Elephas maximus indicus: one gene and its partners. The protein of the gene in region 2 purifies or fractionates together with the protein of the main gene of each other region. This does not show direct contact. Links are inferred from orthologs where the notes say so. Each region holds a gene or a part of one and is shown on either strand. Other genes may lie near its edges. The genes, in order: RAB1A, OCRL, PLEKHJ1 and SNX9.

Region 1 (7,349 bases), on a different chromosome or scaffold from region 2:
AATACTAGGTTTATAATTGAGGTATAACTTACATGCAGTTAAATCAACTTTCTTTTAGGTATACAGTTATATGAGTTTTGATAAACATATACAGTTAAGTAATTAACCACCACAGCAATCAAGATATAGAGTATTTTTTATCAAACCAAAAAGTTCCCTTGTGTCCCTTAGCAAACAATTCCTTCCTTCCCATACCTGTTGTTGTTAGGTGCCATCAAGTCAGTTCTGACTCACAGCGACCCTATGTACAACAGAAAAAAAACTGCCCAGTTCTGCACCATTCTTATAACCGTTGCTTTGACCCCATTGTTGCAGTCACTGTGTCAATCCAACTCATAGAGCGTCTTCTACTTTTTCACTGACACTCTACTAAGCATGATGTCCTCCTCCAGTGGCTGATCCCTCCCGATAACATATTCAAAGTATGTGAGACAAAGTCTTGCCATCCTTCCTTCTGAAGAGCAATCTGGCTGTCCTTCTTCCAAGACAGATTCGTTCATTCTTCTGGCAATCCATGGTATATTCAATATTCTCCATCAACACTATAATAAGTCAAAAGCGTCAATTCTTCCTTGGTCTTCCTTAGTCATTGCCCAGCTTTTGCATGCATATAAGGTGATTGAAAATATCATGGCTTGGGTCAGGTGCACCCTAGTCCTCAAGGTGACATCTTTGCTTTTTAACTCTTTAAAGAGGTCTGTGAAAGAGCACTCTAAAACTGAGGAGCTTGGGGTAACTAAAATGGCTGACACAGGTCTGAATCAGACTCCATTTTGTTTTAAACTCCTCCTGCTGCTTGTTAAGTATTAGTGCCACTTTCTCATCAACAAGTCTTGCTTTGCAAACAAATGTGGTTATTTTTCTTTGACTATGATTCTAGGAAGGGTGTGTGGATCGTTCTCAGAAAAAAAAAAATGCTTGCCCTCTAGAAGAATGTGTTTGAAAATAGATTAACTGATATGAAGAAAGGTCTGTTTGCAGTTGCAGTTACTCTAACCTTCTTGTATAAAAAACCTTGCCTTCGTTTGTAAATTTTGGAGCACTTTGTATTTTTACCTAGTGCTTCCCAGCTATAGCTGTTACTCTTCTTCAATAAATCCCCTTTTCTTTCACTCCTAACAGAGTATGAGATTTTTCTTTGTCAGATCTTTTGCAGCGAATTTGCCCCCTGCAATACGTTGTTTGATTTCTTGACAATCCTAGTTCCTGCCAATCACTGATTTGATTCCTGTCCCTATACATCTCATATCATTTTAATCTATCTTTGCATTTGCCCCTCTATGCCTTGTTTGTGTACACATCTCTCCCACTGGATTGTAATCTCCTTGAAGACAGACAGTTATAATCATTCGTCTTTGCATTTCCCATTGTTCCAAGAACAAGTTCCAAACACATTTAACACATTGTTTTAAGCATAAGTTCCAGACACATTTTTGTGTCAGCTCATGAATACCTGATGAAGAAAAAAAGTGGAAAGAGACGGAGAAATGAAAGTTAGAAAAAAAGAAGAGACAAACAGCCCTAGCAGAGTTCTGATTCAACAAGAGGACAGCCTATAAGACTCATGCTAGTTTAATGAATTATTCTGAGTTATTAATCTTAACTATAAAAGTGTTGTTGTTAGGTACTGATGAGTCAGTTCCAATTCATAGCAACCCCATATACAACAGGAAGAAATACTATCAGATCCTGCGCCATCCTGACAATCATTGCCATGTTTGAGCCCATTTCTGTAGCCACTGTGTCAATTCATCTCGCTGAGGGTCTTTCTCTTTTTTGCTGACTCTTTACCTAAAGAAAAAAAAAAAAATTTTTTTTTTTTTTTCTTTACCTTACCAGGAAACCCTGCTGGCATAGTGGTTAAGTGCTACAGCTGCTAACAAAGAGGTCGGCAGTTTGAATCTGCCAGGCGCTCCTTGAAAACTCTACGGTGCAGTTCTACTCTGTCCTATAGCGTCGCTATGAGTCAGAATCAACTTGACGGCAGTGGGTTTGGTTTTTTGTTTTGTTTTGACCTTACCATGCACAATGTCCTTCTCCAGGGACTGGTTCTTTCTGATAACACGTCCAAAGTACATGAGACGAAGTCTTGTTATCCTTGCTTTCAAGGAGCACCCTGGCTTCTTTCAAGACAGGCTTGTTTGTTCTTCTGGTAGTCATGGTATAGTCAACATTCTTCACCAACATCATAATTCAGAGGCATCAATCTGTCTCTGATCTTCCTTATTCATTGTCCAGCTTTTGCATGCATATGAGGAGACTGAAAATATCATGGCTTGGTCAGGCACACATTACTCCTCAAAATGATACCTTCACTTTTTAACACTTTAAATAGGTATTTTGGAGCAGATTTGCCCAATGTAATATGTTGTTAGATTTCTTGACTTGCTGCAGTTGGAGACTTAAACAACTTGAAGTAAGTTGAAACATCCACCCACCACTCTCAAGCTGCTACTTGCATATTATACCATAATGAGATATAAAGCTTTTTGTCCTTAGTGTATAGCAGGTACACTTAAAACTTGCAGGGAAGAGGATAAAGAGAATTTTTAACCAGTGCCCTCAAAAAGTCATTGTGTTCTACAATTCTATTCGATTTTATTTCATTCTCACAACCAATTTAGGTTAAAAGTTATTAGAAGGTACTTCTTTGCTAGGAAAAGAAATAAGTAAAGGACTTTGGGGGTATGCTTCCAAGAGGAAGGAGAGATTAAAAATTGCATTTTTGGCTCAGGAGAAGTCCTTGAGCCCTTTTCTCATTTTTTATTCTATGAAGTTTCAATAAGCTAGAAGTACTGAGGTATGTTACTGTTCAGGGTGTCTATCGTTGACCCATTCTGGGTCCTTCTTCTGAGGTAGTGACTGTGTTCATTTCAGAAACCAGCATAATGTGAAGGAACTCTAGTGTACCTTTGATGAGGTTATCAACTAAGGTGCCAGCACTATTTGGGGATTAAGAGTTGTAGTTAGTAAAAATGGGGAGAAATAAGAACCACCTTCTTTCTATACTTTGATGTCATGAGAATATAAAATGATTTTGCAATAAGCCTTAGGAGATAATTTTCTTGGTTCCTAGAGCAAGTTGGAAGATAAACTTTGGACAACGTATTATACTGTGCCCTTCGTAATTAAATAACCCAAGATAATGTCTTAAAAGTTTAGTGATTTAAATTCCTGAACTGATTAAAGAGAGCTGTTAAGACCACAAGGTTTCAAAATTGTATCAATATTACTCCCTGAGTTTCTAGTTATGTATTGAGCGTTTCTATCCCTCACTACTGTCCAATCTTACAGATTGGCTCAGTACTAATAACAATTAAAAATAAGACAGTACACTTCCACTCAAAGGCTGGGGCTCGAACAGGAGGGACCTCGAATTTTAGGCTGACTCTGGGCTGTGTCTCATCCACGGAATGCGGAGCCATTGAAGATGTGGGGTAGTCAACATGAAAGTGCTGTTTCGGGAAGATAAATCTGGCCGTGTGTGCAAGATGGGCTGGGGTGGAGAAGAAATAGATGCAGAGTCCATTTGGAAGCTACCGCAATATCCAGGGTGAGGTGCTAGGAGCGGGCTGGAATAGGAATGAAAAGAAATCAAGAAAATGGGACTGCGTGCGGCCAATACTGGGATGATCGGACCCACTGGAAGAGTGAGGAAGAGAACTGAAAGAACGGCTTTGTGTTTTCCAGAGACCCGAAGTCTTTGGCAAAGTGCCTTTTACTTCCCTTCTATCCTGAGAGCGGGCATCCTGGGACCGGCCTAGAAGCTCAAGCCCCAAGGTGGTGAGGCCAGCAAAAGCCGCACCAGAGGCGGACCCGCCAGGCGTGTCCTCCGACACCCCCGGCCAGCCCGCCTCGGCACTCAGGCTGTCCCTCCGGTCTGACCCCTCCCTCCCTCCTCTCCCAGCCCCCTGCACTCACCCCACCCCCGTCCTCCGCCGGCCCCGAGCACTGCGCTCTGCCCCTCCCTTCCCCCTCCCCCGTGGGGCGCTGACTCGCCCGGCTGCCACGTCTCACTGATGACATCACCAGGGCAGCTCGGCGTTAGCCAATCCGCTAGGGGGAGTCCGAGCGAAGACCTAGCCAGCGAGTCAGCAGGGAGGGGAACGGGGAGGAGCGGCTGGGTGGGGGTGAAACTGGGGGGAATGAGGCGGACCACAGCCCGTCAAATACGCATGCACCAAATGCGCAGCGCTTGGCGGGAAGTTGAGTCCTGGTCCCTGCGCTGCACCGTCAGTCCTTAGCGCTCACAGACGCGGCCTGCGACTCTCTTTCCCGGCATGCCATGCGGTGCGGCCGCCCCCTGGCCGTGTAAAGGCCCCACGGTCTAAGGCTTCCCTATTTCCTGGTTCGCCGGCGGCCATTTTGGGTGGAAGCGATAGCTGAGTGGCGGCGGCTGCTGATTGTGTTCTAAGGGGACGAAGTGGGGGAAGACGTTTGCTCTCCCGGAACAGCCTATCTCATTCCTCTCCTTTGATTATCTGTGGCGCGGAGAGTCAGGGCGGCGGCTGCGGCAGCAAGGGCGGCGGTGGCGGCGGCGGCAGCTGCAGTGACATGTCCAGCATGAATCCCGAATAGTGAGTGTAGGAGAGCACCGGTCGGCTGGATCCGTGGGCTAGCTTGGGGAATCTCAAAGGGGGCGAGGAGGGCGGGGGTAGAGGCTTCGGCCGGGGTGAGGTGAGGGTGATGGGGCGGGAGAGGCCCGCGGCCAGGAGCCGGGCCCCATTGTCTGACGGCGGAGGGGCGGCCGGGGGGAGGGGGCGGGCCGGAGGGGTGAGCCGAGGGAGCCTGGACCCGGTCAGGTGGGAAGGCCGTAGTGCAGGGCCGGTGAGGAGGAAGGGGCCGCGAGAGAGTTTCGGGGAGGGGGGATTCAGGCGTTGGGAGTTGAGTGGTGGGGCGGTGGGAAGAGGTAGCTTCTCTTGGAGGAAGTGACTTTTGAAGGACTCATTTTTTAGGGTCGGAGGTAGGTAGGAGAGCTCTCCAACGGGGCACTATCAGCCCCTGTTCCTGCACCCTGCGGAGCTGTCAGGATCGCCAGGGTAGAAACCAGCTTTACTTGTAAATTCTGAGGCTATTTACTCTTTCCTCCCATCCTCCCCGCCAGGTTGCAGGTAATATGGATGCTTTTCAGGACTGCGTGGGATTGAGGGGAATGAGTAGCTGGCGAGAAGCGATTTAAAATTTTTGTTCTCTCTTTGAGTTTTCTGAAGGAGTTCTTTAAGAACTCGCCGGGCCCTTACTTTCCTAAGAACCTGGACATTTGGGAGTTTTTTTTATTTTTATTTTTTATAAGGAGGACGCAGAAGTCATTTTGTTTTCCGTAGGTCAAATAAAAGAACAAAACTGAAACCAAGGACCGTCTTCCTAATATTACCAAATTCAAGGAATCCTTTGCTGTCAAGTTGAAAGAGAAACGAATGGGACCTATGGTAGATCTGTAGGTTTTGTATTACCTGCTTGAATGCTTGCAGATAGGGAATGAGGCTCCATGACGTGTCATGAAAAGTTAATGCATTTTTTTTCTTGCTTACTCAGAAGTCACCACAGCAGATGTGACACACCTGGCTCCTTTCTTGGGAACTGGTGTTTACTTTCCTTGGGAAGACTTGGTAGGATTCTTCTCAGTGTCCATTGAAAAAATCCTCCTGCAGTATCCTCCACACGTGCACATATATATAAATTAATACTTGGAAAAGATTTAATTGATAATTCTCTTTAGAGTCAGCAGTTTTTAGGAGGAGAGGGGAAATTTTTTTTAAAGCAAAAATCAGCGTTTGTCCTAAAAGTTGAGTTTATTTGCTTAACATTTCCGCTTGAAAAGTCCACTCATTAGCTGTCATGTGTATGTCACATGGCTCTTGCAAAATGCATTCTGACTTCAAGTTTGGTAATGCTGCGGTTTGATGTGGGAATGTTCTTTCTTTTGTACTAAACAGAAGTCATAGTATTTTATTAGAATTTTATATAATTCGAGAAGTTGAGGATAGCGCACTTGTAGTAACATATTTGCTGTGTTGACAGTGTTTTATTTCTTTATCTGGGGCTCCAAGGACAAAGTTGGTTTTGCATAGTTGGACAGAGTTTTCCTGGCAACAGTAGAGGACGTGGATTTACCACTTATGAAGGTGTGTAAACCTCTGCTGTTCAGGGAGTTTTTCATATTTGCTACATGCATGCAGTACTGTAAATAGATCTTAAATATTAGTTGAACAGAATCTTGACAAGTTTCTTATTTTTGTAAAATAGGATAATGGTCCCGTCATTATTCCTACCAGGATCCTCGTGAGGTTCAAACTATAAGAGTCCTCTTGAGGTGGTGTACATCGTTATGTAAAGCATTATAGTAGTGCTGGGATTTAGGGATCTAATCCTTACCATCAAGGAGTTTATAAGGGAATATAGAACATAGATTGCATATATGTCAAATACCAGTAGGTACAGCAAGTTCTAGATAGGTGGCATGAATCTAAGCAACCAGATTTCAGAGGCGAGTGAGTGGTTTGGTTCAGGAAGGCTTGAAAGAAATGGAAGGTCTGACCTTTATAGAAACGGACCTGTAAGGGAATTAGAAGCAATTAGATTTGGTGAAGCAGAAGGGAATGAGGATTTTCCAAGGGGGTAAAAGGTAGAGGAATGGCTGATAAATGGCAAGAACAATACTTTTTTTTTTTTTTAAGAAAACATTATATTGTTGAATGGCTTATTTTACTGACCTTAAAAAGAACATTTCTGAGGAATTTACTTGGTGAAATATTAGTGTTAAAATAGTGAAAAACCAGGATGCAAAACTGCTTACAATAAGATCTTAATTATGATATTAAAATACGCTGAAGAAAACTGGAAGAAAATTCTTTAAAATATTAATGGTTACTTTCTCAGTTGTAAGTTTTTTTTACACTTTTACCTTTTTCAGTTCATATATACTGCTTTTATAGTTGGAAATTTATTAACTTTCAATTATAAAGACAGTATTTCTTTAGTAAATATGGTGTCAGACCATCCGTTCTTTTGAGTGCTATGGGTTATTGACTTCAACAGAATCAAACCTAGAAATAGTTTTTACAGTTTTTTTCCAGGTTCGAGTATTCTCCTTTAAAAAAAAAAAAAAGAACAAACTAAACCCATTGCCGTCGAGTGGATTCTGACCCACAGCAGCCCTGTAGGGCAGAGTAGGACTGTCCCGGAGGGTTTCCAAGGGTTCATTATGGAAGCAGACTGCCACATCTTTCTCCTGTGGAGCAGCTGGTGGCTTCAAACAGTGGACCTTTCAGTTAGCAACTGAGGGCTTTAACCGCTGTACCACCGGGGCTCCATTCACCATTAGGCTGCTGTTATATTCTAGACTGTGC
Region 2 (7,527 bases):
AGTCTGTGTATTCCTTCTATCTTCTTTTGATGCTTCCTGCATTGTTTAATATTTTCCCTATAGAATCCTTCACCACTGCAAATCAAGACTTGAATTTTTTCTTCAGTTCTTTCAGCTTGAAAAATGCCGAGTGTGTTCTTCCCTTTTGGTTTTCTTTTTCCAGGTCTTTGTACATGTCATCATAATACTTTACTTTGTCTTCTGGAGCCGCCCTTTGAAATCTTCTGTTCAGCTCTTTTACTTCATCATTTCTTCCATTTGCTTTAGCTACTTGACGTTCAAGAACAAGTTTCAGAGTCTCTTGCTTTCTTTTTTTCCTGTCTTTTTAATGACCCCTTGCTTTCTTCATATACGATGTCCTTGATGTCATTCCATAACTCCTCTGGTCTTTGGTCCTTAGTGTTCAACGCATCAAATCTATTCTTGAGATGGTCTCTAAATTCAGGTGGGATCTATTCATGGTCATACTTTGGCTCTCCTGGGCTTATTCTAATTTTCTTCAGTTTCAACTTGAACTTGCTTATGAACAATTGGTGGTCTGTTCCACGGTCGGCCCCTGGCCTTGTTCTGACTGATGATACTGAGCTTTTCCATCGTCTCTTTCCACAGATGTAGTCGATTTGATTCCTGTGTATTCCATCAGGCGAGGTCCATGTATACAGTCGCTGCTTATGTTGGTTAAAAAAGGTATTTGCAATGAAGAGGTCATTGGTCTTGCAAAATTCTGTCATGTGATCTCCAACATTGTTTCTATTACCAAGGCCATATTTTCCAACTTTGGGTCCTTCTTCTTTGTTTCCGCTTTTGCATTCCAATCGCCAGTAATTATCAATGCATCCTGATTGTGTGTTTGATCAATTTCACACTGCAGACACTGGTAAAAATCTTTAGTTTCTTCATCTTTGCCCTGAGTGGTTGGTGCGTAAATTTGAACAACAGCCATATTAACTGGTCTTCCTTGTAGGTGTAAGGATATTATCCTATCACTGACATGTCTTGAAATGTTCTTTTTGATGATGAATGCAATACCATTCCTTTTCGAGTTGTCACTCCTGGCATGCTAGGCCGTATGATTGTCTGATTCAAAATGACCAGTACCAGTCCATTTCAGCTCACTAATGCCTAGGATATTGATGTTTATGTGTTCCATTTCATTTTTGATGATTTCCAATTTTCCTAGATTCATACTTCGTATGTTCCATGTTCTGAGTATTAATAGATGTTTGCAGCTGTTTCTTCCCATTTTGGGTCGTGCCACATCAGCAAATGAAGGTCCCAAAAGCTTTACTCCATCCATGTCATTAAGGTTGACTCTACTTTGAGGAGGTAGCTCTTTCCCAGTCGTATTCTGAGTGCCTTCCAACTGGGGCGGCTCATCTTCCGGCACTATATCAGACAATGTTCCACTGCTATTCATAAGGTTTTCCCTGGCTGATCCTTTTCAGAAGTAGATCACCGGATCCTTCTTCCTAGTCTGTCTTAGTCTGGAAGCTCAGCTGAAACCTGTCCACATGGGTGACCCTGCTTGTGTTTGAATACTGGTGGCTTGGCTTCTAGCATCACAGCAACACACAAGCCCCCATAGTATTACAAACTGACAGATACGTGGAGATCGAGTTTATCAGACATTGTCAAATTGCTTTTCAAAGCAGTTCTACCAATTTACACTCGTAGCAGTGGATCAGAGTTCTATCTTTTCTACATCATCAATAGCACTTGGTGTTGTCTGATTTTTTAAATTTTTGCCAAACTGATGTTTGTGAAATAGTATCTCATGGTTTTAATTTGCATTTCCCTGAAAAGTTGCACATACTTTCATATCTTTAATGACTGTTTGGGTTTTCTTGTCTATGAATAGCTTGTTCATATATTTTTGTCAATTTTTCTACTAAGCTTCTTTCTTTTACTGATTTATAGAAGTTCTTCATATGTTCTGGATACTAATTCATTCATTCATTTAATCAGTATTTTTTGAGCATCTACTTTGTTGCAGGAAGGGCTTGACGCGCTGGAAATACAGCTATGAGCAAAACAGACAAAAATTTTTGCCCTCATGGAACTTACATTCTATAGGGAAAGATAAATGATAAACAAGTTCGATAAGTAAAATAGTATTTTTTTATATAATAAAATATAATAGATAGTAATAAATTCTCTGGAGAAAAATAAACAGGGAAGAGAAATAAGGAGCATGTTTACTTGAGGTGGAAGGATTGTTGAATTCTAATTTTAGATAAAGCAGTCTGGGAAGGCCTCATTGAGAAAGTTACATTTGAGCAAAGATGTGAAAGATATGAGGGTACAGCAGACGGAGCAGGAAGTAAAAAGGCCTTGAGGTAAGAGCGTGCCTGTCAAGTCCTAGGAACATCAAGGAGCCAGTGTGACTAAGATTAGTAGGAAAGAAAGTCAGAAATGTGATGATGGCCAAAAGTGTAGAGCCTCATAGGTCATCCTTTGTTTGTTTTATAAATTGAAAATGTCTTCTCCTAGTCTGTGGCTTGTCTTTTAACATGTTTTGAAGTACATACATTTTGAAATTTAATTAAGTTAAATGTATTGACCTATTCCTTATTGTTTATGCTTCCTAGTATCAAGTAATCATTCTTACTCCCTATTCCAAGGTCATAAAGATATTCTATTTTCTTCTGAATGTTGTAAAATTTTTCTTTTTTCACAATCAGATTTTTAATCTACCTGGAATTGATTTTTTTCCCCTCTGTGGTATGAGGTAGGGGTCTAATTTTATAATTTACACTTATGGGTAATCAATAGTCCCGGCACTTTTTGGTGGATAATCTGTTCTTTGCCCACTGATTTGAAATGTCACGTATGCTTAATATCAGCTTTCCATCTATGTGTGGGTCTGTTTTGGGGCTCTGTGTTCTATTGGTCTGTCTATCTCCATACCATACTGTCTTAGCTACTATAGCTTTAAAATCAGTCTTGGTTTCTAATCCATTGTAGAGTCTGAGCAGATAAATAACACAATTTGCTATGGATTAAATTGTGCCACCCCGCAAAAAAAGTGTGTTGGAATCCTAACCCCATACCTGTGCATGTAATCTTGTTTGGAAATAGGGTTTTCTTTGTTACATTAATTATATAATATCTGAGTAGGATGAGTTCTAAATCTAATCCCTTCTGAGTTATAAAAAGAGCAGATTAGACATAGAGGAGTGCTTGTGTGGTATAAATGGTTAAGCACTGGACTAGTAACCAAAAGGTTGGCAATTTGAACCCACCCAGAGGCACCTTGGAAGAAAAGCCTGGCATCTGCTTCTGAAAGGTCATAACTGTGAAAACTCTATGAAGCGCAGTTCTACTCTGCATGTATGGGGTTGCCATGAGTCGGAATCAATTAGAAGGCAACTGGCTGGTTGGTTTGTTTTAAGACGCAGAGATAGGAATGCTTGCGGGTGGGAGGGGTTCACCCTGGACTACCTACACAGAATCACCATTGAGACCCTTATTTGTGCTTTTAGCCTCCAGAACTGTAAGAAAAAAAAAATCTGTTCTTTAAAGCCATCCACTTGTGATATTTGTGTTACAGCAACACTAGCTAACTAAGCACAGTTAAAACATTACTCTGGGAAGAATATTTTTATGACTGTGAACAAAGTAAAATGGTTAAAGGAGAGATTAAATCCAACCTGACTTATTTGGGGAAAATGCAGTAACCCAGATAGGCTATCACAAAGGCTTACAATAAAGTACTGGTGGAGAGAAAACAAGGAGTAAAAGTAATTGCGAAGAAAATATTAACGAAGCTTGTTGGCTGATTGGATTCAGAGAAATTAGGAGAGCGGCAGAAAGCACATGGCTTTGCAGTTTTAAGCCTAAATGTCTGGGTGAAATTATTATGAGTTTCGTTAGTGTTATGTTAACAATGGAATATATATTAGGTAAGAGTTCCGGGGAAACCCTGGTGGTGTAGTGGTTAAATGCTACGGCTGCTAAGCATAAGGGTCGGCAGTTCGAATCCCCCAGGCGCTCCTTGGAAACTCTATGGGGCAGTTCTACTCTGTCCTATAGGATCACTATGAGTCGGCATCGACTCGACCGCACTGGGTTTGGTTTTTGGTTTTTAAGAGGTCTGGGCCAGGGATATAGATTTGGAGGTTGCCTGCTTAGAGTTGCTTTGGAAGGGGCGCAAAGGAGGAACAAGGCTCTAAGCTTTGGGGGATTTTCCTACTTAGGAATAGAAGAAAGAAGAGGACTGGAAGAACATCTGAGAGGTAGGATAACCACCGCGGTGCGTTAAAACATTAATAAGGATTTTTTTTGACTGGATGATATAGGTCCTATTGGCCTAACACGTTGTGAGTTCCCTTACAGGTATGACTGCGTTTTTGCTTCTGTGGTCATCTTCAAAGTACCCAGAACCATTCGGGTGTCACAGGTAGCACTGAAAACGCATTCCTTGCTGGACGTGGTAGAGAAGCCCCCAGTCCGTCGGGTCTCTCCCTGCAGTTCCGCTGCTTGGCCGCAGGGGGCGGAATCTGCGGCGGACTGGAAAACCGGCGGGGGCGTGAGGCGCCGCTCTCTCTCGGGTCAGGCTCTCGGCTCCCGGCTCCCGGCTCCCGGCGCGGAGCCGTTCCTCAAGCGACGCGCAGCAGCGGCGGGCGGGGGGAGAGGACGCGGGAGGCAGCGTCGTCGGATCCGCCCGCAGTCCGCAGCCCCGCTGAGCCCAGAGGCCGCCCGGATGGAGCCGCCGCTCCCGGTCGGAGCCCAGCCCCTTGCCGTATCCGCCCGAGAGGAGGGGGAGGGGAGGCCGAGCCGAGGGTGGGGGCCGGGGGACTGCGGAATCCTGGGGACCGGGTCGGGGGACGGTGGGGCCCAGAGGCCGAGCAATGCCAGGGGGTGCGGGGTGGTGCAGGAGGCGACACCGGGGGGTCGGGCAGAGGGGCAGGAGGCTCCCTCCGCACCGCACCACCCTCCCTGGGCGCGCTTCTAGAGGAGACCCTTAACCTGTGCCCACATACTGTCGAGGGTATGGAGATGAACGGGCCCCTTCGGGAGCCCTGCGCCCTAACCCTAGCCCAGAGGAACGGGCAATATGAGTAAGTAACCACCAGATCCCACAGAGAAGGGAGCTTGCCATTACCCCCACCCCCAAACCGCGACCACCCTGCCACCCTCCTGCCACCGAGGCCATGCGGGCAACAGGTTCAGGTCCAGGTGTGAAGCGCGAGTGCTCTGTAACGACGGGGCTGTGCCCTGAATTTCCAAGCCGCTAGCTTGTGCCAGGCAGTGTGGCTTAGTGGGAGGACTCAGTGGGCAGGGAAGCAGGAAGCCTGGGTTCTTAGTTCCTGTCCCTGCAAACTGACATGTGTTGTGTAACCTTGGGTAAGTCAATAAAGCTTGCTTAGTGTCCTCATTGCTTAAGTAAAAATATGAACTGCCTTACCTTATAGCCTTTGGAGTTATAACTAGAGGAATAATTAATAAATGGGGAAGTGTTTTACAAAAACTTAAAGCGCTATAGAATTGCTGCACTACAAAAGTTAAAGACTTGCCTTTTCTTAACCCCATTCAACTGGTTCCTCCAGTCTCCCCAGCCCCCATCCCACCAAATTCAAAACCTTTCAACTCACTCTAAGGAATGCAGAGTCATTAGTTCAGTAATAGTTTTGTGGAGGCCTCACACATTGAGAGAGAAAGGGTAATGAAATCTGTAGAAGTGTAAATGACATTTGACATTTTATCAGTGTGTGTCATCTTGCAGTTTGCACATAGGAGCTCAGTAAATACTGGTGATGGATTGATGAAAAGTTTTTTTTTTAATCACTGTAGCTGTTGATCTCACTCCTTTGCTACTAACGCCTCATCTCCAAAGTATCCATGGTGAGACCACAACATATCAGAGGCCCCTATCTCTGTGCGCCCAAGTCACCTCCTGTAGGTGCCCACTGGTTTCTTGATGTCAGATTTCTCCTGAGGTTAAGTGTCGACCCCTTCAACCCTGCCATCTCCCAATATTGGATTCTGCCTAAAAACAATTTCCCTCAGCCCCCACTTTCAGAATCTCCAGACTCAGTCTGTGTCTGGCTATCTAATTTACACAGAAAAAATGTCCACTGGCCTAGCCTGTCCTCTTCTGAGACTATTAGAACCACTTTAACTGGACATCATCTGGTTCTGTGAAGTAGCTCTTCCCTGGGCCCTGCTTGGTCATTTCTGTTGATGTGGGAAATTCATGTTATTTTTCCAGTTTCCGCAAACCCTGGAAGACCAGTTTAATAAACTAAGTTCAACAGAAAAATGGATTAAAACCTGGAATACCACTGCCACTTCCAAAGGCTAAGATGGGGTGAAGAGAACAATGGATGTGGAATCCACAGACCTGGGTTGAATTCTCAGTTGTGCCACTTTTGAAATGTGACCTTTGAGCAAACCAGGAAATGTTTTGTGCCTCAGTTTCCTCTTCTGTAAAAACAAGATTATGGGGATTAAATCGAATAGCTCCTTATGGAAATGACCACAGTCTAGGATCTGGTGTCTTGGTTTTGTAGGGTTGGAACTCTGTTCAGCTAATAAGCGACTGAGCAGCTGGCCTTGAGATAAATAAGCGCCTCATCCTATCGGAGCTCTGATACTAGAAGTACTCTTAAACTCACAACGGTAGCTCTCCTGACTATTTGTATCTTCTTCACGGAGAAATCAAATTCTTGTGTTCTAATTCTGTATAAGGTATTATAGCAACAACCAACATTTAATGGCTCAATATGTTCAAAGCACTTTTGACAGATCAGTTCATTTGACCCTCATGTGAGGATTATGATGAAATAGCAAGATGATGATCATCATCCCTCTTTTATAGGTATAGAAATTGAGGTACAGAGAGATTAAGTCACTTCTTCACAGGAAGTATCATAGCTGAGTTCTGAACCTCTGCAACATAGCTCTGGTGCCCCAGTTCGCAACTGCTACTCCATGCCTCCTCCCAGCTACGTAGGGAGGCTTGACTCTCAATCAGTAACCTATCTCAGAAATACATTATCTGAGTAGGTTTTTGAAAATCATTCCCTGGAGACCCCCTAATACCATAATACTATCTATAATCTCAAATTCAAGTCTTTTGGGTGCCTTCTCTGACTTGGGTAGCCAGAATTTTTTCATTTTTATTTTTTTTACTTTGGGCCTTTTTATCCTATAATTTGAAGCCTATCTTAATCTTCAGGGCTGTAGCTCTTGCTTGCAACCATAAAAAACCAAAACCAAACCAAGTGCCGTCGAGTCAATTCCAACTCATAGCGACCCTATAGGACAGAGTAGAATTGCCCCATAGAGTTTCCGAGGAGCGCCTGGGGGATTTGAACTGCTGACCCTTTGGTTAGCAGCCGTAGCACTTAACCACTACGCCACTGGGGTTTAGGAGAACTTTATTTGAGAGGCCAAAATTACAGTTAAAAAGGTTTTTGGAAATGGGGAATCAAACACTAGGGTTCAGTTTTTTTAAGGATAATAGGTTACGATAGAAGCTGTTGGTTCACCTTAAACCTTCTTTGAACAAATCAAAGAAGGCAT
Region 3 (7,519 bases), on a different chromosome or scaffold from region 2:
CTGGAAGCACTTTGAGAGCAGCAGCTGCTGTGATTGTGGGGGGGCCGACTCCCACTTTTAAGGGCTCTCACCTGTTTAGGCCAGCCCACCCAGGATAAACTCCGTTTTGATTGATTCAAAACCATCTAATTTGACACTTTAATTACATCCGCAAAAACCCCTCGCCTTTCCTTTACGTGATTGGTTAGATGTGTCACAGGTCCCACCCACATTTGGGGGCGTGTCAGGGAGTTGGACTCATCTTAGGGTTCCCCCTACCCCCTACTCTCCCTACACTTGCCATCAGGGCCTATGCTAGAGGCCCCGTGGGGTCCGGACCTTTTCCCACCCGGGGCCTAGGGGCTCCTCCCTACCATGCAGCCAGCGCCCCCTAAACTGACAGACGGCTGGATCCCCCAGCCCCCCCATTCTCATCATCACCAACCAGTAGAAAAAGAGGTACGTTTATTTCAACAGGAGCACATGGGCGAGGGTGGCCCTGTCCAGCTCCGCCCAGAGGTGTGGCCATGGCACCGCCCCCCGTCAGCAGGAGTGAGTTCACATTGGGGCAGGCGGTGGTGTCTCCACGCCCTTCACAGCTTCACAGTCTGACTGTACATTCAGCCAGCGGGAAACCCCCTGCTCCTCCAGGGGGTAGCTGGGGGCGGGGCGGCCCGGTGCCAAGAAGTGGACGCTTGCCCCCCGGCAGCCTACAGCAGCAGCGGCCCCAAAGGGTGGCCAGTCCGTGTGCGTTCCTCCACAAGGGCCACCCTGCACCCCACCTGGCCTTAGGGAAGACAAAACACCTCCCCCACAAACCCAGCCTACACAGGGGAGACCCAGGAGAAAGGGCTCATCCAGCCCTGAGCAAGGGCCTCGCCAGTCCAGGGGCTCATGCCTTCAAGCTGCTCAGCTGGAACCGGGTCTCCTCAGAGATGCCAAACTGCTCCAGGGGATCCTGGGAGGGGGGCAAGGGCAGGAACAGTGAGCCCTGGGCCCGGGAGGACCTCGCCGCCGCCCGCCTGCCCCGCACTCACCTTGCCTGTCATCTTCTGGATCTCGTTTCTGTAGAAGACAAGGCTCCTCCGCATGAACTCGTAGCTAGGGAGACAGAGGAGGTGAGTGGTCACCGGCTCCATGGTGCCCGCTGGTCCCCACAGATGCCCCGCCCCGCTGATGCCCCACCCCCTGCTCCCCTACCTGGCCCGGCGCAGCGCCTCAATCCACTCCTGACACTGGTTCTCACTGCAGCACTGAAAATGGTACTTCCTCTCCGTGTCCTCCACGAAGGCTGCCGGGGGTTGGGGCGGGGGGGCGGGAGGGCCTGTCTGTCCCGCTGGCCACAGGCCTCAGCTTCCTGCTGATACTGGCCACACCCTCACCACTGCCAGGCCCGGGCCAGGCCCGCCACTTGCCAGCTTCCACTGACCCCAGGATTTTGGGACCCCAGCTTGCACACCTCACGGCCTTGCTCATATGCTATCACCTGTCTGCAACACCACCCCTCTTCTCCAGGCAGTCCTCCTGGCCTCACCCCTCACAAACCACACTGAGCTGGACACACCTGTACCGGGCTCCACCTCCCCCTGCACATTGGACCTCAAGAAGAGAGCCCAGAAAACGGAGTATGAAGACATCCCAAGAGATCAGTGCTTAATCAAGCAAAACAAAGTTCTGGTGGCCTTTGGGGGAGGGGCTTGGATGCCGGGTGGTTCCTCCCCACCATCATTCCCCCCCACTATCCCAACAGCTGGAGTCCAGCCTGGGCCCCATGGGGAGGGCAAAGTCTGGGGCGAGGCCGCTGGGGAGGAACCCCGCCTGCAACGGCCTTGGCAGGTGGACAGGTGGTGTGCCGCCCAGAAAGAAACCTGACCTTGAGCTGCCAGGGACAATGGCCCCTTGTTTCTGGGGAACGGTGGCGCCAGGCTGGGGAGACAGGTGGAGCCTCGGGCGCCTGGGGAGGGGACGACGGGGACCCCTGCATGTCAGTGCCGGGGATCCGGCTATCCTTGCCACCAACCCCACTCACTGATGGAGAAGCCGCTGGGCTCTTCCCGGTTGACTCGGCAGTGCTCCAGTACCAGGGCTCCGATGGGCTGGAGATACACGTAGAAGCGGATGGGGGCGCAGGTCACCCTTCCCCAAGGCGCCTGCCCCTTCCTGGCCTGGGTTTCCTCCCCCTCTTGGGGGCGGATTCCACGAAGGAGTCTGAGACAGCAAAGTGACAGGACCAGCGCCCGACTCCTAGCTTAAAGGGGGCAAACAAGGCACTGCAAACCCAAGGGCGGGCTGGTCCCGCTCGTCCCTGGGACCCCCGCCCTGTCCGGACAGCGCCCCTACCTCGGCCTCGTCCGTCCGGAAATAGAAAAGGAAATTGACCACCAGCTTCACCAGCCGCCGCTTCACCACTGCGGGCACAGAGCCGGCTTAGGGCGCGTGGCCGAGGGGCCACTCCCGCGCACCCCGTTAACCCGGACCCCCGAGACCCGGAGACCGCGCACCCCAGCTCCCTGGGCGCCCACTCACCGCTGCCCTTCTTGGGGCCCCGCATGCCCAGCTCGGCCGCCATCTCGGCCGGCTGCCGGGATAGCGCCTGCAGCTGCTTCTCGTTGTAGCGCATGGCGCCGCCGGGAGAGAGAACGCGATCCCAGACCGCCGCCCTCTCGGCCGCCGTCCCTGCCGGCGCCAAAGAAAGTCTCAACTCGCAGCCCGGAAGTGCTGCCAGAGTCAGTGCCCCTGAGCGCTACCCCGGGCTGCTAATCTCGTCCCTAACCGGTGCGTGGCGCTGGTGTCCGGGGGCCGGTGGACAGTCATTACTCATTACATCACCTCAAAATACATTGCCCCGGGGTGAAGACAAAATCAAGGACCACCCAAAGACCGGCGGCGCCCTTAATGGAGGAAGGGGGAAGGCAGAAGGGAACAATAACGTTTTAGAGAAGAGCCATTCCACCCTTCTCGCGATAGCTGACCTCGCGAAAGCTGAAGACAACCGAGAGTTCGGCGGGAGCGCTGTGCGCACGCGCGCTCCGGCTTCCGGCCCGCACTCTGAGCCCCATCCCCTTTCCCTTGTGCGCGCGAGTGTCTCTCCTGCGCCTCTGGCCGGGCCGAGCATGCGCACACCGAGGCCCTGCGCCGATTGCCCCGGAAGTGCTTCATTAGTCTGCGACGCGCGAACGCGGGGCCGAGTGGTGGCGGCGTCTGTTGCGAGTGAGTAGCGGGCGGCCCGGGGCGAGGGTGGCGGCCACCGAGGGCCTGGTTTCCCTGAAGCGTAGCGGATGCGGGAGAGAAGCGCCTGTAACGGGCCGCGCGGCTTGCGGGGCGCGAGCCGGAGGGCGGGCTGGCGGCCGGGTCGCGTTCCCCTTTCCCGCCTGGCGGAGTCGGGCTCTCTGCACCCGGGTTCTCCCCGGTGCCCGCGCATCGCAGCTCGGCGGAGGGCCCGGCCCGGCGAGGCCAGCCCGACACCCCCTCTTCCGTCTCGAAGCTCTCCCGGGAAGGACCCGCTGAGGTCTGGCCACTGGGTAACAGTAATCGCGGCTGCAGTGGTTGTGAGCTGCCGCTTTGTAACGGAGGGCTCTTATGGACACTGTTTTATCTCCGTTAGTTGATTGGCTTTGTGATCGGGGGAGAAGCACTTAATCCCTGGGAGCCTCAGATCCTTTAACTGTAAAATGGGGGTGCCAGCGGTAACCGGCCCTGGGTTAAATAAAGTGTTGGGGAAAACTATTGAAAACGAAATCTATGCCCAACCCAGAAAACCTGTGCACAAAAATAGAAGGAAAAGAAAAGTTTTGCTATTCAGTAAGTATTAAATCAGAACTGATGTATCACAGGCAACCCACTGAAGAGATGGCAGAGAGAAGAAATCTGATCCGTTATGTGGGTGAATGGATGCAACTCATTGCATTGAAGTGTTGAAGATAATTGTTAATTTTCTAACCTTTATAGCTCAGATAGGGCTGGGCCACCTGTTTATGCTAATCGCCTGCCAAGGAAAATGGGAACATAGAGGAGGATTACAAGTTATCTAAAGTGAACTCTGGTGGCGAAGCGGTTAATCGCCCAACTGCTAACAGAAAGATCGGTGGTTCAAACCCACCAGCTGCTCTTAAAGAGAAAGACCTGACAATCTCCTTTTAAGACTAAAAACCAAACCCATTGCTCTTGAGTCGATTCCGACTCAGAGCAACCCTGTAGGACCGAGTAGAACTGCCTCACAGGGTTTCCAAGGAGCGGCTGGTGGATTTGAACTGCCGACCCTTTAGTTAGCATCTGAGCTCTTAAGCACTCCACCAGCAGGGCACCGACAACAACAAAGTGAATTCTGAAGAAAATAATAGAGATGGGGCATTCCTTCTCCTGTTTTCACGGGAATTCAAATCTTTTGAATTTGTCCTTTCAAAGGCCATTTGGGTGATACACGTTACACACCGTAAGAACCCAAAAAAAACAAACCCGTGAGAGCAACTGGGAAATATTAGCCATCACCACTTTACAGGTGGTCCTCAGGTTGCATGACTTGCCCAGGTGGTCAGACCTTGATGCCGGGCACTGCTGCTCAGTGCTGTCTCCCAGCTTCCCTTTGGCAGCAGGGAACAACTGGGAGAAGCTCTGGGAAAATGTTTGCTAGGATTAAGGAGCTAATGCGCAGTGGAGGTTCAGTGGTAGAGTTCTCACCTTACACGCAGGAGATGTGGGTTCCATTCCTGGCCAGTGTACCTTGTGCAAGGCCACCACCAGTCCATTTGTCAGTGGAGTTTTTTCTGTCACTGTGATGGTGAAAAGGTTTCAGCGGAGCTTTCAGACTAGGATGGGCTAGAAAGAAGGGCCTGGCAATCAGTCAATTTCTGAAAACAGCTAGTGAGAACCCTGTGGGTTCCACGATCCAGTCTGCAGCCGATCATGGCAATGGCACATGACTAGGCAGCGAATTGTTCCATTGCGTGTGGGGCATTATGAGGACAGCAGCTAACAACAAGATCGTAGTGTTTTGTCAAAACCTGCTATTCCTTCTCCCTTGTTCAATCTCAGCTCCCAGAAGCCACCTCTCTACAGTTTTTAAAGGCAATTCTCTTGGTCTTTGATTTGGTAAATAATATGCTTATGTCTTACTTTATTCATCTTGGGCATTATCTCCTGGCTTCCTACCAGGGTTGATGAGGGTTTATTTGTCCTATCCACCCCAGCTTCTCTCTCCATGCCTCAAACTCGATTACATCAGAAGTTTTTTTTGAGTCCTTGACTGTCTGAAAATGGCTCTTTCTTGCCCTCTCACTTAGTCTCCCAAATTAGACGTTTAGCTGGGTGTAAAATTCTAGGTTGAAAATGTGACGGTCATTGGTTTTAAGCTTCCAGTGTTCTTGAAAAGGCTGGTCCCATTCTGGTTTCTTATTTTTTGCTTGTGACTGGTTTTCATTTTGTTTAAAAAAACAAAACCCATTGTGGTTGAGTCAACTCCGGCTCATAGCGACCCTTTTAAGACAGAGTAGAACTGCCTCATAGGGTTTCCAGGGACCAGCTGGTAGATTCAAACTGCTGACCTTTTGGTTAGCAGCCAAGCTCTTACCCACTGTGCCACCAGGGCTCCTCTTTCTGGTAGAGGTTAGGGTTTTGCCTTCGTCCTTGGTAGTGTAACATTTCACAGTCCATTTGTTGAGGGTCTTGTGTTTCCTGGATAACGTTCTCCTCTTCTTTGTTAGTATTCTGTGCTGCTTTCCCGTTGTCACTTCGTGGAACTGTGTCTAAGTTCGTTTTTTTCCCTCGTATTTTATTCATCGTTTTCTTCTTTATGAGTAACCTGCTTGACTTTTACTTTCAAGTTCTCGTGTTGAATTTTAGTTTGAGTCATCTCATTTTTGCTTTGCAGGGGGGTTGGTTTTTTTTTTTTGTTTTTTGACTTGTTAATGTTTGGCACTTTATTTCAGTGTCTTGGTACAGTAACTTGTTTTCTGGGAGAGAGGTTAGTGGTAGTTACCTCATTTATCTTTATTATAAGCCTGCAGGTAGGCAGTGACAGGTATCCTATTTTACAGATGAACAGACAGGTTGAGGCAGTTAACTGATGTGCGCTGATCACACAGGTGATATAGTCAGAGCTAGGATTTGAACCAGGCCTGTCAGGCAACGCCTCCAGCACATCCTTTCTACACACAGGAGGCTCTCGGCTGATGTTGGATTAGGAAGGTGAACGATGTGTCTCGAAGAGCTTTCCACTGGGTGTCTTTTTTCCTCAAACGTGGTGGGACAGGGAACAGCAGCCGGTGTGCTGTGTGTGCGCCAACCTCGGGCCGGGCTCAGGCCATGGCATTGGGCGGCTCTGGGCACCTGATGGGGCGAAAGAGGGCGAGACTTGCAAGTCCAGGGTGTTGGTTGGCATATGAGTATCCTGTGGCTGCTGTGACGGGTCACCACAAACTTGGGGACTTAAACTTGTTCTCTGGGATCAGCTTCACTGAGTGTCATCCAGATTTCTCCCGGAGGCTCCACGAGAGACCGTTTCCCCATCTTCCCCAGCTTCTAGGGGTCACGGCATTCTGCAGCTCGTGGCCCCTTTCTCCGTCCGCAAAGCCGGCAGGGGAGCATCTTCCAACCTCTGCCTGCTTCCGTCCCCACTGCCCTGACTCTGACCCTCCTGCCTCCCTCTTACAAGGCCCCTTGTGATCACATTGGGCCACCTGGGTGATCCCGGATCACCTCCCCTTTTCAAGAGCCTTCACGTCATCCGTTCGGAGTCCCTTTTGCCATGGAGGCCCCATATTCACAGGTCCCAGGGAGTAGTACAGAGACCTCTCTAGGGGCCACTCTTCTGCCAACTACACTCTGACTGCTGGCCCGTCCCCGTGAGCAGAGACAAGGTAGCGTGTGTCTAAAATCCAGGGGCATACGTGGAACACTCGAGCCTGGGCTTGGATCTGAGCTGAGCCAGAAGGAGCACAGGGTGCACAGTGGGAGGGGAATACTTAGGACTCAGGGAAGCCACCTCGCCCAGAGATGGGCCGTGACTGTTTCCTGTGTGTCCAGCAGGAAGGACCCAAGAGGCGTTTTCCTTATCTTTAAGAAACTGACCACCGAGCCAGAGAAATAGAATTAGAGGTAGATGGTGAGTGAGTGTAACCGACCAGAAAGGGAATTCAGAGAAGGGAGCAAATGCCACAGGCCTGGGCAGTCGGGAGGGCTCCCTGGAGGAGGGCCTCCCTGGCCCCAGCACTTGGGGCTCTGTGAGCTCAGTGTTGCCATTTCCGGTCTCCGGGCCTCTGGTTCCCCTGGCTGAAGTGACCCCCTCCCCCCACCCCAAGATCACTGGAACGAGCCCGGGCAGGTACCTTGCGCTCCAGGCAGATTGTGGCCCCCTTGTTTCTGGAGGCCTGCTCCACAGGAGACCTTCAGCCTCCTGGGAGAGACGGTGAAGGTCAGAGGGTGGTCCTGTTGGGGGTCGTGTGGGGCTGTGAGACTAGGACAGCTCCATGTCTCCCCGCAAGCAGGGTTACCTCTGCATGCCACCTCTTCCAGGCCGAGGGTGGGTACCAGCGATAGCATCACC
Region 4 (7,781 bases), on a different chromosome or scaffold from region 2:
AATATCTGTTGACTGCTTATTATGTACATATCATCTTGCTAAGTCCTTCAGGTTCATTATCTCGTTTAGTCCACACAACAAACCTGTGAAGTAGGTACTATTATTACTCCCATTCAGCAGTTCAGGGAATTGAGGATTAGAAAAGTAACGTGTGCCTAAGTAATGTACCACAGTTTGTAAGTAACAGGATCCAGATCTGTTGGCATGAAGTAAGTGCTCCTAAGGATGAAAGGAGGAAAAAAGAGAGAAGGGAAATGGCAAGGGGGCTGTATTTGTGTTTTGTTAAACCACCATACCTATATCTAACAAACTTCAAGTTATCAAAACATGAATTTTTAAAACTACCATTTCAACGTGAAAAATGTACTCAGGACTAGAGATGTTCTGAACTACAACAATGAAGTTATTATTAATCTCTGCAGCGAAAACAAAAGTGCTTTTAACACCGTAAGTCCGTAACCATAACACCCAAACATTACTGAACAGATCCAGGACAAGAGTTAATGGTCATTCTTTTCCTGTCACCACCAGCCTGTCACCAGCACAGGGCTTCCTATAAATCCTTATCACCCTATCTCCTTTGTCCTGATTAAAGGGCAGGAAGCCTAAACAGAGCCCCTCTGTTGTTCTGGCTACAGCTCTTTTTTGTTTTGAAAGTGCAGTCTAGTTATAACCAAAAGTAGTTTGCAAATGCAAATCGAATTTCTTAACTAACCAACTGCGTTCTCACCAATGGGCATAATGGAAACTCAGGCTGTAGAAGAAATACCTGAATTTAGCTGTGCCAGCCTCAATGTGAAGGAGCCCTCGTGCCTCATCCATTAAGCACTCAGCTGCTAACCAAAAGGTTGGCGGTTCAAACCTATCCATCCACTCTTCAGGAGAAAGACCTGGTAATCCGGCTCCATAAAGATCACAGCCAAAAAAAACCCTATGGGGTAATTCTACTCTGTCACGTGGAGTCGCCATGAATCGAAAGCGGACTCCATGGCACCTAACAACAAGGCTCAAAGCTAGGCTCTTCACTCTGAGCTTAGGCCAGTGTAGGGTGCCACCTTCAAAGTTGCTCAAAGGAACATATAGGGAAAGATAAGGAAGAAAGAGATGTGGATGGGTGATCAAATGGAAGCAGAAGACAAAACCACCTACTTCCTAACTTTGCCCAGGGCTCTTTGTGATTATCCTGAGTGAAATCCATTTTCTAGTTTGGGAAAAGCCACTCTTCCACTGGGCGCCTGGACTTCATGCTGAAAAGATGCTATTATGCTTCTCCCAATGTGGGCAGGAGGGCGCTGAGTGGTAGCTGCTAACACAGCTGAGATTGGAGTCCTTATCCTATTCTCAATAGTGACTCTTGAGGCCTTCAAGCAACTCCCTACAAGCTTCTCACCTAAAATGGTTTTTAGTTTGAAAATGACATGTTCAGGGATCTGTGATAGAGAGGTAGGTGCTTGTTCCTTCTCGGGCTTAATATGCGGACTCGAGTAAGTCATAACGTCCCTGGCCCCTTATCTGCGGCTGTAAAGGAGGGATTGACATTTTGCAACTCCGTGTATTTGGCAATTATATCCAGACAAATGCCAACCAATAGACTAGATAGTACATTATCGATAAACATGTATAGTTCAATGATAAGTCACACTAAAGTTATCCTGAACATGATTAAAATTTCTATTTATTGCATTTTTAATAATGAATTGGGCACTACAGTTCCAGGAAATACTGTTAAATTTAGCAGTTTTATGTTCATATGCATTAGTCAAAATCCTCACTTCATAAAATGTTGTCATAGCAGAATATCCCTTCTATGGAGTAGTAATTTTTTTTAACAGAAGTTTATAGTATATAAAATAAAACTTGCAGAAATCTTGTACTGTGCAATGTTTCGCATTACCTTCTGTTCCACGTAATCCTGAGTTCCTTGAAAGTATATTTGGGCAAATGCTATAGTGCTTAATTTGTGATTGTTCAACTGTTCTCATTCATTCATTTAACAAATATTTAGTGGGCTCTTACTCTGAGCGAGGTGTTGAGCTAGAGACACGGGATATGACGGTGATGTGACTGGTGTGTAACTTCAGGGGTGTTCTGAAGGACCAATGGGAGATTAGCTGGTGTGTGGAAGGGGGTGGGGAGAGTATCACCTTTTCATTTCAGACAAAGGAATAACAAACGCAGTATCCTTGCCAGGACCAACTACCTAATTTTCAAGGTCTTGTGAAAAATGAATATGTGAGGCCTCTTGTCCAAAATCTATTAAGAATTTCAGGATGGTGGCAGCAGAGCGTTAAGCCAAACATGGGCCCTTCTAAGCAGGGGACCCTGTGCAACTGACTACACAGGTCATATGCCCAAGAAGCTGGTTCTGGTCCTCTCTGTGGCAGAGGCCGCAATGCTCAGGAGAATCTGAGAGGCCAGTGTGGTTGAAGAAAGAGCTCTGGAAGGTGGTGTGAGATGGAGTTGGAGATCAAGTTCACCTGAAGCTGAGGTGAATGACATCCATGACTTCTGAGTCCTCTAAAACAATGCCATGGTGTGTTTACTACTTCAATGATATCGGTAGCGATTTTGTTTTTATTTAAATATTTTGATTGGTCTGCATCAGTCATCCTGAGTGTGGTGTCTCCATCATTACTCCTAAGATTGAAGCCAGGGCTACAGAAAATGTTCAAGTGGGAAAAGATTGGACTTCTTGCTTTCTTGGTTCTAGGTGCCCAGGATGGCTAGTTGCCCAGAAGTTCCCAGTTGAACATGCTGAAAGGCCTATCTTCACATGTATGACCCTGACTTTCCTATTAAAGCGTGTGTTTTAAATTTGAGTATAGGAAGCTATACTCAAATTTAAAAGAATATGATGAACACCTTACTTATAGTATTACCTGAGTTCAGATCCTGACATCGTCACATACTGGTACATGCTCTTAGTCATTATTTAGTTTTTTGTTTATTAAAATATGAATTCATGTTTTTTTTTTAAATAGTTAAAATAATACATATCCTTGGTCAAAAACTCTGAAAATAGCATCCCGTGAATCTTTACAGAAATTGTCTAGGCATATACAACATATCTACCTATTTTTTACACAAATGGATTGTACTATACATAACGTTCTTTTCACCAGTACTAATACCTCTTAAAATATTACCATTTTCTCGTGGGCTGCCTTGCATTTCATTTGTATGGATATACCGTATTTATTGAGACAGTCCTATTAACAAACATATTGGCTGCTGTCTGGTTGGGATTATTACAGAACAATGCTTTAAGGATCATCTTTCCTCACTTGTGCAAGTCTGACAAGAGGATAAATTCCTAGAACTGCTGAGTTCAAGGTTATGGACATTTTCAGTTTTGACTGCTGAGCAGTATTGCCAAACCAGGCAAGTTATTTCATTTAGGCTTGATTTCTTCATACCTGTAAATAGTGAACAATAACGGCTTTCCCAAAGGTTCCTTACAAGGATTAAATGAGATAAACGCATGTAAAAACTACAAAAAAAAAGCAAGTAGGCTGTCAGTGAATATGTCTTTGGCTTTCCTTTTACTTATAAAGACAACTATTTATGAATATGATGATGACTCTAACTTTGGCCATGAGCTCAGCAAACACAAATTTCACATGAAATTCTGTAGTGTTATATACCTTGAGGGGCCCTGCTGGCGCAGTGGTTAAGAGTTCCGCTGCTAACGAAAAAGGATGGCAGTTTGAATCCACCAGTCGCTCCTTGGAAACTCTATATAGTGCAGTTCTACTGTGTCCTGCAGGGTCACTATGAATCGGAATCGACTCGATGGCAATGCATTTTTGGTGTTTATTAAGAAAAACACTTTATTTAATATAATTAAGTGAAATCTTCAGAGATGTTCGAGAGGACACAAATGTGACTTTAACTGTAAATACCACTTCCCTAGCTTAATAAAACTGACTTGATGGATGACTCTTCTAACATATATCACTGATAATAAAAACAAAATGTACTAGATTATTATACCAACCAAGATATATTTTCGTCATGAGTTCTGTACTTGAGTGAAAATTTGGCTGCTCAAGTCATCCATTTATTAATAAAATCCATACATACAACTCTGAAGAAAAAGTTTTACAAAAAAGAAAAATTTTAGACCTTTTATTTCCACTTCTGATGACCTGTTGTCTTCCCCAAAACCTCTGGGGCCCTGAGACATTTTAATTTATCAAGAGTCATGAAAGAGGTTAATGAGACGCCTCAGAATGCAAGCCCCGAGAGTCCCGGCCCAGAAGCTCTAGTCGAGATTCCAGCCCGCGGTAAAACTCCAGGCTGAGGCAGAACCTCCTTCAGGAAGGACGGGTCCTCCCAGGAAGCCATTGCGCCTCTCCTTCCTGGCTGTTGATTTGGCACTCAGTTACTTTGCCCCGAGCACAACCGACCCCACAACCCTCCCGACACAGACAAAGTCCCCGATTGAGTGGCCCATACCCTGCCCGGGACGTGTATAGTGATTAGGGCCACACTCCTGCACCCCGCACGTAAATCTAAGTCCCCGGAGCGCAGCGTCTACGTGGGATTAGGGTCGACACACAAGCATGTCTCCACTGTGTTGGAACGTTTAATTCGCGGCCGCCTGGCTCCGTGACCCGTGTAGCCGGCCCCGACCCCTCCGGGCAGCGGCCCTCGGGCGTTGGGACAAAAGACGCCAGGCGGCTGCAGCGGTCGAGGCTGTGCGAGGGGCCGGGCGGGGCGGAGAGTGGGCGCGGAGGCCGGCCGCCGAGGCCCGGGCGCGCTTCCGCCGGCCTGTGCGCCGCGCCGCGGTCAATGGGCGGCCTCGCCGGCAGGGGCGGGGGCCGAGCCGGGCGGTTCAGGGACCGGAGGAGTGGCCGGCGGCTGGAGTCTCCGAGCGCGACGCGGCGGGGCCTGAGCGCCGAGAGTCGGGCCCAGGCGGAGCCGCCGCCGTCCTCGCTGGCCCGCGCGGCCCGACCAGCCGCGGCGCGGGAGAGGAGCCGGCCGTCCCGGGCCGGGAGGCCCGCCCGCCATGGCCACCAAGGTGAGGGGCGCGCGGCGCAGGCCTGGCCGCCGCTCGGCGCCCGGAGCACAGGAGGGTCGCCGCCCGGGAGGCTGAGGAGCCGCGCCGCGTCCTCTGAGGGGGGCCGGGCCCCGCCGGGGCTCGGTCGCGCAGGGCGGGCAGTGACGGGGTCGTTCGCACCGAGGGCGCTGGAGGCCCGCTCCAGGCGTGGAAGGGGCGCGGGCGGGCCCCCAGGACGGGGGACCCCGGGACGAGGGGGGCCTGGCCGGATGGGACGCCTCGCACGGTGCCCTGTGCAAAGTTTGCACCTGAAACCTGGCGGGAAAGTTGCCGCAGCTCGGAAGTTTCCCATGCGGACGGCCCCTTTGCAGAGTTGGGGTGGTTCCCGGGCGCCCCCTTCTCCGCGGTGCTGTGTTTTGGAGGCGGGAGCCCGAGGGGCGCGCCCTAGCCGCCGCTACCTAGTGCGGGGCCCGTGGGGCCAGGGCGGGTTGGAGTCCCCGAGCCCGGGCCGCCGAGCAGGGCTGGTGGACGGCCAAGCCACCCGGGAGCGTTGCGTTCATTTAATTGCAGTTAAACGCTCCGCGTGTCGACTTCGTTTCTCTTTTTATTTTTCTTGTTTTGCTACATTTTCAGGTTGAACGGTATTTCCAGCATGAATAAAATATAAAGAGGGAAATGACTGTGCTTTCAGTGACGTGTTTGCTTGAAAAAAGGCCCACGCCCGAGCTACATGGTGGAACTTTGACTAGGGAATTGGTCAGGAGGGTTCGTTTGCGTGTTTTAGTCTATTTGTGAAATTAGCAGTCACCTTTTGCTCCCAGAGTCAGCAAAAGCCACACTCCCCAGTTCCCTTTTCCTGGGGCGTTTTCAGTAGATACTTGATGTAAAATATTAACAGGTAAAGCCACTGTCGCTGCATGAGGACTTGGAATAGATAGGCGGCTCCTGGTTCAGTGTGCTGTTGATAATGTGATACGGTTTGGGGCTTGGATTTACTTTTGCAAATAGTCACTGTAGTATGACCTTCATAAACATCAGCACCCTTTTTCTGTCTGGTTTGAAATCTATAACCTACTTTTGGAACAGTGAAAACCTTAATTTTTGTTTGTTTGGCTTTTGTTTTTGGGAGAGGGTTACTTAGAAAAGTGATTAGAAACTTGAAATTTCTTTGAAAGGTGAGAATTGTCTCATTTCATTTCAGGCTGTTAAATTTTGCGCTCTGAATTCTTCTTAGTGTGTATGTTCATCTCCAGGTAACCTGTTGCCTGATGTAACTGAAATTATTACCTTCTTGCTAATATATTATTGGACATACTGGGTTTTATTAGATGGGATAGAACTTGCCCCACTTGCTTAACACATACTAATTTTTTGTTGACCTTTTTGAAAACAAAGCTTAAGAATTTCTCAGGAAATTTGATTTTGAGGTATGTTGCCAAACATTCCAGAAATCACCAGTTACACATCCCATTATACACTCATCTTGCATCCTTACACGTGATCATAGTGTTGTGGTATTTTCCACTCTGACGTATCTACTGAGGCATGTTACATGTACTTTTTAAAAAAAAATTGTTTTTCTTGTGGAGAATATACACAGCAAAACATACCAATTCAACAATTTCTACATGTACAATTCAGTAACATTGATTATATTCTTTTAGTTGTGCAACCATTCTCATTCTCCTTTATCGAATTGTTCCTCCCTCATTAACACAGACACTCACACGTCTAAGTCTCTTATCCAGTCTTTCAAGTAACTATTGTCAATTTGATCCCATGTAGATAAATCTTAAAACACTCAGTGCTCCAAGCAGACATTCTTTACTTAAGCTGAACTGTGGTTTTGAGAAGATGTCAGGGGATATTTTTGGTTTACGGTTTAAAGATTATCTCAGTACAATAGTTTCAAGGCTTCATGCAACTGCCGTGGCTCCAGAAAAGCTGGATTCCATGAACATGAAATTCTGTCTGCATTTCCCCCCTTTTGATCAGGATTCTTCTATAGAATCTTTTTTTTTTTTTAATTTTTAATTGTACTTTAGATGAAGGTTTACAGAACAAACTAGTTTCTCATTAAACAGGTTTTTTTTTAATATACATTGCTTTATGACATTGGTTAACAACCCCATGACATGTCAGCACTCTCCCTTCTCAACCTTGGGTTCCCTATTACCAGCTTTCCTGTTCCCTCCTGCCTCCTGGCCCTGGGCTGGTGTGCCCCTAGTCTCGCTTTATTTTATGGGCCTGTCCAGTCTTTGGCTGAAGGGTGAACCTCAGGAGTGACTTCATTACTGAGCGGAAAGGGGGTTCGGGAGCCATACTCTCAGGGTTTCTCCAGTCTCTGTCAGGCCGGCAAGTCTGGTCTTTCTTTTTGAGTTAGAATTTTGTTCTACATTTTTCTCCAGCTCTGTCCAGGACCCTCTATTGTGATCCTTGTCAGAGCAGTCAGTGGTGGTAGCTGGGCACCATCTAGTTGTACTGGGCTCAGTCTGGTGGAGGCCGTGGTAGATGTGGTCCATTAGTCCTTTGGACTAATCTTTCCCTTGTATCTTCTATAGAATCTTTGATTAAAACATTCAGTAGTGGTAGCCAGGCACCATCCAGTTCTTTTGGTCTCATGGCAAAGGGCACAGTTGTTCATGGAGGCATTTAGCCTCACATTCGATTTCCCCCTCTATTCCTGGCTCTCATTCTTTTTCCTCTTGCTCCAGCGAATGGAGACCAATTGTACTTTGGATGGCCACTTGCAAGCTTTTAAGACCCCAGGCTCTGTGTA

Evidence for each region.
Region 1: the proteins of OCRL (region 2) and RAB1A purify together in Homo sapiens (co-immunoprecipitation; 3 studies listed by BioGRID and IntAct, with this or other methods). This does not show direct contact. The link is inferred for Elephas maximus indicus from reciprocal best matches to the Homo sapiens genes OCRL and RAB1A.
Region 3: the proteins of OCRL (region 2) and PLEKHJ1 purify together in Homo sapiens (co-immunoprecipitation; 3 studies listed by BioGRID and IntAct, counting the BioPlex papers as one, with this or other methods). This does not show direct contact. The link is inferred for Elephas maximus indicus from reciprocal best matches to the Homo sapiens genes OCRL and PLEKHJ1.
Region 4: the proteins of OCRL (region 2) and SNX9 purify together in Homo sapiens (co-immunoprecipitation; 3 studies listed by BioGRID and IntAct, with this or other methods). This does not show direct contact. The link is inferred for Elephas maximus indicus from reciprocal best matches to the Homo sapiens genes OCRL and SNX9.

What each region holds. Positions count from the first base shown.
Region 1 is NC_064835.1:71,584,358-71,591,706, forward strand, and holds the start of RAB1A (ras-related protein Rab-1A), read left to right. Parts: upstream 1-4,331; 5' UTR 4,332-4,554; coding exon 4,555-4,577; intron 4,578-7,349. UniProt on the Homo sapiens protein: The small GTPases Rab are key regulators of intracellular membrane trafficking, from the formation of transport vesicles to their fusion with membranes.
Region 2 is NC_064846.1:26,926,609-26,934,135, reverse strand, and holds the start of OCRL (inositol polyphosphate 5-phosphatase OCRL), read left to right. Parts: upstream 1-4,517; 5' UTR 4,518-4,702; coding exon 4,703-4,741; intron 4,742-4,980; coding exon 4,981-5,060; intron 5,061-7,527. UniProt on the Homo sapiens protein: Catalyzes the hydrolysis of the 5-position phosphate of phosphatidylinositol 4,5-bisphosphate (PtdIns(4,5)P2) and phosphatidylinositol-3,4,5-bisphosphate (PtdIns(3,4,5)P3), with the greatest catalytic activity towards PtdIns(4,5)P2.
Region 3 is NC_064821.1:3,016,806-3,024,324, forward strand, and holds PLEKHJ1 (pleckstrin homology domain-containing family J member 1), read right to left. Parts: upstream 3,015-7,519; 5' UTR 2,952-3,014; intron 2,656-2,951; 5' UTR 2,600-2,655; coding exon 2,506-2,599; intron 2,388-2,505; coding exon 2,320-2,387; intron 2,076-2,319; coding exon 2,009-2,075; intron 1,271-2,008; coding exon 1,180-1,270; intron 1,081-1,179; coding exon 1,017-1,080; intron 938-1,016; coding exon 872-937; 3' UTR 428-871; downstream 1-427.
Region 4 is NC_064819.1:230,099,604-230,107,384, forward strand, and holds the start of SNX9 (sorting nexin-9), read left to right. Parts: upstream 1-4,774; 5' UTR 4,775-5,011; coding exon 5,012-5,023; intron 5,024-7,781. UniProt on the Homo sapiens protein: Involved in endocytosis and intracellular vesicle trafficking, both during interphase and at the end of mitosis. Required for efficient progress through mitosis and cytokinesis. Required for normal formation of the cleavage furrow at the end of mitosis.